Linked DNA regions of Anolis sagrei. The protein of the gene in region 2 purifies or fractionates together with the protein of the main gene of each other region. This does not show direct contact. Links are inferred from orthologs where the notes say so. Each region holds a gene or a part of one and is shown on either strand. Other genes may lie near its edges.

The links. The genes of interacting proteins can lie anywhere in the genome.
Region 1: the proteins of SF3B6 (region 2) and PHF5A purify together in Homo sapiens (affinity purification with mass spectrometry; 4 studies listed by BioGRID and IntAct, with this or other methods). This does not show direct contact. The link is inferred for Anolis sagrei from reciprocal best matches to the Homo sapiens genes SF3B6 and PHF5A.

Annotation. Positions count from the first base shown.
Region 1 is NC_090025.1:161,415,751-161,419,504, reverse strand, and holds the start of PHF5A (PHD finger-like domain-containing protein 5A), read right to left. Parts: upstream 2,573-3,754; 5' UTR 2,498-2,572; coding exon 2,446-2,497; intron 1-2,445. Other genes in the region: ACO2 (aconitate hydratase, mitochondrial), read left to right, coding at 2,959-2,994.
Region 2 is NC_090021.1:139,467,479-139,471,232, reverse strand, and holds the start of SF3B6 (splicing factor 3B subunit 6), read left to right. Parts: upstream 1-867; 5' UTR 868-1,005; coding exon 1,006-1,035; intron 1,036-3,754.

The sequences.
Region 1 (3,754 bases), on a different chromosome or scaffold from region 2:
CATTTAATAAAATCCTAACTTCCAATATTCCAGGACCAAATGTCAAACATTACTTACTTCTTACCCTTATTCATGTTTGACCAAACATTAATATAACCAATTTTCATCAGTGTGTAGGAGAGAGATTATAGTAGAGTATATGGCTTTTGATGCAGCAAAAACCAGGCTGAAAAACTCATGAAATATTAAGCATGATTTCAAAGTTGTTATGAGGTTGAAACAGTGGACCTATTTCCAGGTACACACGCTTAGGACTGCAGCCATAGCCATACATTGTAAATGTCAACAGTACTATATCCAAAGCAAACAATTAAAACTAGCATTATCTTTTGCCTGTCTGCCAAATCTATATTTGCTCATATGAAAGAGCGTCATTTTCAAAACAACAGAAATTAAAAATTTAATACCTTTTTTGGAAGCCAGGACAAAGAAAGTACTATCATTGTTTAAAAAAAACCATCAAACAATAGCAACGTCTGATGTTTCATGTACGTCATAGGTCAGCAATGACGCAGATTAAGGTAAGCTCATAAGATAACTTTTGAACATAAAGGAAAGGGCAGGAGTCTAAAGTAAGCATCTGTTATGTTAGGAGCTCTTACAGTCAAGAAGATGGTTTAAAAATGCTCACTACTACAGCAACCTTGTTGTTGTGTGCGTTCCCGGCTTATGTTAACCTTAGGTGAACCTATCCCAAGTTTTCTTGGCAAGGGAAGCTTGCTTTTGCATTTATCTAAGGCTGAGAGTGTAAGTTGCCCAAGTCCACTCAGTGGGTTTCTATGGCTAAATGGGGATTGGGGATCCGAACCCTGGTCTCCAGAGCCATACTGTAATGCTTAAACTACTATGCTGACTCTCACTGCAGCAAATACACCTTCCCACCTCAATACAAGAGCAAATATTATAACCACTGTTTCTTGAAAACAGCACTGAATTAGAAGGTCATGTGAAAAGGTCTGTGTACATGTGGTGGAAATTTGAGCCAGTACATGAAATGGATCAGATCCAAGGATGTACAAAAGTTGTCTTGCACATTGTCTTCTAAAACATTATAGCTGTACCTAAACAATCTGAGTCAGGTACAATATTGTGATTAGCCTTTTTTCTACCTAGAGTACTCACAATAGCTTATACACAAACAATATATTGTATTGTACTAAGATGCATTAGGAAAAATATGCTACTTCGGAGACAGAACTGTATGGAATGATTACTGTTTTTGACTGATCTGATTTAAGGTGACACAAACGACTAAGCCTCTATTGCAGTGGTTCCCAAGCTGTGGATTGGCAGGTGTTTTGGCCTTCAACTGCCATAAATCCTAACAGCTGGTAAACTGGCCGGGATTTCTGGGAATTGTAGGCCAAAACACGTGAGGACCCACAGGTTGAGAACCACTGCTCTATTGCAAGATTATCTAGGGCTGAGAGTGTGACTTCCTCAGCACACTCCAGCGGGTTTTATGGCCCCACAAAGATTCTGCTGGGCATCTTGAGGAAAGAAGAAGCAATCAGGAAACATCTATGGCCCCATCTACAGTGCCATAGACTTACTTAGCCGATCCCTCATAGCTCGAGGATGATGGTCCTCCAAGTGAAGTTTCTTGGCGGTGGGTCTGTATAATCCACTTTCTGAATGTTGATTATCTGCTTTAAACTGGATTATAGGTCAGTGTAAATTCATATAATCCAGTTTAAAGCAGATAATCTGCCTTCAGAAACTGGAATATATGGCAATGTTGATGGAGCCTATATTTCACAAAAGGAGTTGCCTTGACTTACTCTCCACAGGATGCTGTTTAAACAGGCAAACAGTGCATCCAAATCCAACCAATTCATTTTCCAGAAGAGCAACCCAGATGCCCTGGAAGGGGGGGGGGGACGGACGGGGACGACAAAGGCGCAACCGTCTCCTTTTCTATATTGATAATGACAGGTTGTCCATTCATGAATTCAAGACTGATAAGCCTGTTGTCACCATCATATCATGTGGAAACATATCCCAAGCTTTAATATTACTATGCATTAAACATAACATGACATGCCTTCCTTTCACCAGCAGGGGAAGGCATTTTTTATGTAAGTCTGCCTTTAATGCAGGCATGGGCAAACTTAAGCGGCTGAGGGAGAAAATGAAGGGGCCTGAGGCTGTCAGGAATGCTGGGAGTTGAAGTCCAAAACACTTGGAGGGCCCAAGTTTGCCCATACCTGGAAACTATTTCTTACCCAATGTCTCTCTGGCCTTATTGGAAGACCAACATCACAAGCACCAAGTAGAATAACATAACAATTGGGTGCAATGTACACTGTCAAATAAATATGCCTTGACACCTCTTTAACTGCCATGGTTCAATGTTAGGGCTCTGTTAGGCCTCAAGGTCCCGCTCCAAGGGCAGCCCCCTTCCCCTCCAATACCGAACCAGGGAAGAGGAGGCCTTTGCCTCACCTACTCCGGCCTGCTTGCGGCAGAAGATGAGGTCCGGGTGGTGCTTCGCCATTTTGCCCTCTTCCTTCCCTCGCCGCGCCGGCTGTCTTCAAACCGCGCGACTCGAGGTCCTGGATGCAAATAGAGGGCCCGGCGCCACAAAAAGCGGGATTTTTTTTACCATCTGCAGTAGGGAGTAAAGGACTTGTTTCCACTCTCTTTCCAAGCCAAAGCCTTAATATCAATTTAATTTTGAAATACAAGGAAGAATAGAATGATTCGAAGTTGTTATATCTTTCTGCCAAGACCTGACAGAGCCCCTCCCCCCTCTTACGTCACTGGTATCGCAGACTGAATGAAAAATATGAAGTGTGTTGCTGCTGCACTCTAGACTTCCTGTTGGGAAAGCCACGCCCCCGGAAGTTGCGTCAAGGCGGCGACGCGCTCTGCGGAGACTCCGCCTCTGAGGCCTGCCTTTTAAAACCCGACGCGTGACGTTATCGCTAGGCGACTTCATCTTTGTCAGTGAACAAAATGGCGCCGTACTATGTCCTAGTCAGTCGGTTACAGGTGAGCGCAGCGGCCGTGAAGCCGGTTGTCAATTGATTGCGGGTCGGACACGGAGCCCTGGTGGCTGCGTCCGTGAGGCGGCTTGAGTCCCGAGGGCGCCCTTCCATAAGGGAGGCCAGCTTCCCCCTTTTCTGCCCTAGGTCAGAGCGTCCCTCATGCGGCCCTTGTGGTGGCTCCATGGAAACAAGGAGTGCATGTCCCCAGAAGGGACGGAGGAAGAGCGGGCATGAGCGGCCTGCCTCCTCGCCTTGGTGCCGGGCCCTCTTTGGGCCTGGCTCATACACTCTGCCTCCAACTTTGTAGCCAAGGTGAGGGCAAGGTTATTGGGGTTTGTCCTCGCTATTCACAGTGATGGCTGGCAGTGCTGGAAAGCCTATCACCCACACATCCCAGGCTCAGCTGTACATGAGCTAACGCTGCTTTAATACTTTATTTTACTGTGGGATGAAGTGGTATCACCGAGGTGCCTTTAGGAGGTTTAGTAGACGAGGCCTGCCATGTGGTATGTCATGACAAATTGGAATGAAATATCACATTTTACCTCATCAGATTACATTGTTTCCAGATTTTTTTCCCTCCTTCTAACTATTTAATGTTTGCTGTCAGCCCTAGTTTCTGCCAACAGCAGTTCGAAAACATGCAAATGTGAGTAGATCAATAGGTACCGCTCCGGCGGGAAGGTAACGGCGCTCCATGCAGTCATGCCGGCCACATGACCTTGGAGGTGTCTACGGATAACGCTGGTTCTTCGGCTTAGAAA
Region 2 (3,754 bases):
AAGGCTATTAGGGCTAATCAAGGTGGCCAATTGCTACATTCACGCCTGCCTCTAGCAGACAAGAGTTCTTTCTCCCACCCTGGACATTCCACAGATATACAAACCCCACTTGCCTAGTTTCCAAAAGAGATCACAACCTCTGGGGTTGCCTATTATTATTATTATTATTATTATTATTATTATTATCTTTATTTGTACCCCGCTAGCATCTCCTGAAGGACTCGATGTGGCTTACAAAGGCCAAGGCCTCAAAACACAACATAACAATACACAACCTAAACCAAATTAAAAACAGTTAAAGCAATATTAAACAACAAGCAATAAACAATACACCAGCACACAATAAAACTGGGCCGGGCCAGAGTAATGGGTACAGAATTAAAAGTGCTGATGTGACCGGTGATACGTAAGGATTATAGGGTAAGTGCAGTGTGCCAGCAATCTTAATTCTAATAAAGTGCTTCTGGGACTTATTGATGGAGTTTTCCTATTCTGGGAAGGCACATCGGAACAGCCCGGTCTTCAAGTTCTTTCTGAAGACTGTAGTCTTTGGTGATCTTTAGTGATCTTAGACAGGCAAAACATCAGGAGAGAATGCTTCTGGAACATGTCCATACTGCCTGGAGAACTCACAACAACCCAGTGATTCCGAGCATGAAAGCCTTTGACAACACATTTAACTGTCTTTACTTGGCCTTCAAATAATCTCCTGAGCTGCTATTAGCTGGTGAAAGGTGAAAACCTTTTTTGTGGGATGCAAGGATCTCCTTATATTGCGTGCGCTCCTCCTCGCCTCTAGGGGGCGGAGAGCCCAAACACGCCCGGGAATCAAAGCCACGCGATGTTACTTAGCCTTGGCCAGGACCGGAAGTGACGTGTCTCTTTTCCCGGCTAAGGCAAAGAGGAAGGCGAAGCGAGGCCTTGGAGCTCTTCATCCGCCGCGGACTCGCTGCGAAGTTTCCTTATTTTTCTCCCAAGAAGCCGGAGACCCTATTAACCTTCGCCATGGCGATGCAAGCGGCCAAGCGCGCCAATGTGAGTCTGAAGGGACCCTTGTTCCTCGCCCCAGAAGCCGTTTCGTGGGACGGGGGTGTTCTGGCCCAGCAAACCAGGCGGGAATGGGTTGGCATCCCGATAAAGAAAAGCTCCTTGTCTTCCGAAGCTTTGGGCTTTTATATATAACTCTGTGTGTGAAACTAAAATTCCCAAAGGCTTCAGAAAACAAGGAGGCTTTTCACAGAGATCACTGTGTGTGTATATAGATAGATGTAGTTATATCTATGGACCTATGAGCAGTAGTCCTCAACCTGTGGGTCCCCAGATGCTTTGGCCTTCGACTCTCAGCTGGTAAACCGGCTTGGGTTTCTGGGAGTTGTAGGCCAAAACATCTGGCGACCCACAGGTTGAGAACCACTGTTCTGGAGAATGAATCCACTTAAAATCCGGTTGCTGCCTCCTGCAGAATTCTGGGATTTGTAGTTTAAGGTAGAGCCGTTAACAGCCTCACTAAACTACAAACCCCAGAATTCTGCAGCAGGCAGGAACTAGATTTAAAGTGGATTCATTCTCTAGTGCAGGGGTCCTCAAACCTTTTAAACAGAGGGCCAGGTCACAGTCTTTCAAACAGTTGGAGGGCCGGATTATAATTTGAAGGAAAAAAAACCCGAATGAATTCCCATGCACACTGCACATATCTTATTTGTAGTGCAAAAAACACTTTAAACAATACAATAATTAAAATGAAGAACAATTTCAACAAATATTTATTCATTTATTTGTTTATTTACAGCTTTTATATTCTGCCCTTCTCACCCCGCAGGGGACTAAGGCGGGTTACAGTGTACACATATATTTATTTATTTATTTATTTATTTACTTTGCTTGTATACCGCAGTTTCTCAGCCCGAAGGCGACTCAACGCGGTTCACAACATAGCAAAAACAGTCATAACAAAATAGCAATAAACGATTTAAAAACCATGAAAGCACAATATACAGTAATGGCACATCAATAACAACACAACAACGTCCCCTAACTAGAATCGTGATCCAATTCGTTGTCTATAATTCCATTCCTATATTCATCATATTCATTGCACTGTTTATCTGAATGCCTGTTCAAACAGCCATGTTTTTAGCTTTTTTCGAAACACCATTAACGTCGGAGCTGATCTTATGTCCATGGGAAGGGCGCTCCACAGCTGAGGGGCCACCACAGAGAAGGCCCTGCTTGTGATGCAGGTGGGATCGAGAGCAGGGCCTCCCCAGAAGATCTTAGAGTCCTGGTGGGTTCATAGGCAGAGATACGTTCAGATAGGTAGCTTGGGCCCGAACCGTTTAGGGCTTTAAAGGCCAACGCCAGCAATTTGAATTGAGCCCGGTAGCAGATCGGCAGCCAGTGGAGCTGGTGCAGCAGAGGAGTTTTGTGCTCCCTGCGCTCCGCTCCTGTTAGTATCATGGCTGCCGAGCGTTGGACTAGCTGGAGCTTCCGAGCCGTCTTCAAAGGCAACCCCACGTAGAGAGCGTTGCAGTAGTCTAGGCGGGATGTAACAAGAGCGTGGACTACTGTGGCCAAGTCAGACTTCTCAAGGTACGGGCGCAGCTGGCGCACGAGCCTAAGCTGTGCAAATGCTCCCCTGGTCACCGCCAAGACCTGGGGTTCCAGGCTCAGCGATGAGTCCAGGATCACACCCAAGCTGCGAACCTGCGTCTTCAGGGGGAGTGCGACCCCATCCAACACAGGCTGTAACCCTGTACCCTGTTCCGCCTTTCGACTGACCAGGAGTACCTTTCGACTGACCAGGAGTATGGAAAACATTCAATGCCAATTTTGACATACAACATATACAGACAGACAGAGGCTATTTAACTTTTTTCTGGCCGCCAGGGGAGCTGTCGCTTTCATCGTCCATCTGCAACACTGATGAAGTACTTCCGCATTCCCCACATGCTTTTGCTGAAGTCTTTATGGCCTCATAAATTAGTTAATTTAGCCTCCCCACACTTTAAGGTGGTACCTTATTTTCCTACTTGACAGATGCAACTGTCTTTCGGGTTGCAAAGGTCGACAACGGGCTACACAATTGGTTGGAAACCCACTCCAACCCGGGCTGGCTTCGAACTCATGACCTTTCGGTCAGAGTGATCTTAATGCAGCTGACACTCAGCCAGCTGCGCCACAATCCCGGTGAATATAAAGTTATTAGTATTTCAATGGGAAGTGTGGACCTGCTTTTTGGCTGATGAGATAGGGTTGTTGTTGTGTGCTTTCAAGTTGTTTCAGACTTAGGTTGACCCTGTGCGAGGGCCAGGTAAATGACCTTGGAGGGCTGCATCCAGCCCCCTGGCCTTAGTTTGAGGACCCCTGCTCTAACGTGATGAAGTAGTATGTGTGTGAGAATCTATATGTGTGTGTGTGTGTGTGTGTATTTGTATATGTATGCGTATATTTGTAAACATACATATCTTGCATAATTTGATTATGTGTACTGGCCAGCTTGCTTTACATCCTACAGGTTGAGTATAATGCTCAATCCCTCTGTTAATGCAGCTCCACTGGCTCCCTGTGTGTTTCCAGGCAGATTGTTACCTATAAAGCCTTTTACGGTTTGGGTCCAGTCTATTTGCACGATCACGTCTCCCTCTATGGCAGTGGTTCTCAACCTGTGGCTCCCCAGATGTTTTGGCCTACAACTCCCAGAAATCCCAGCCAGTTTACTAGCTGTTAGGATTTCTGGGAGTTGAAGGCCAAAAAC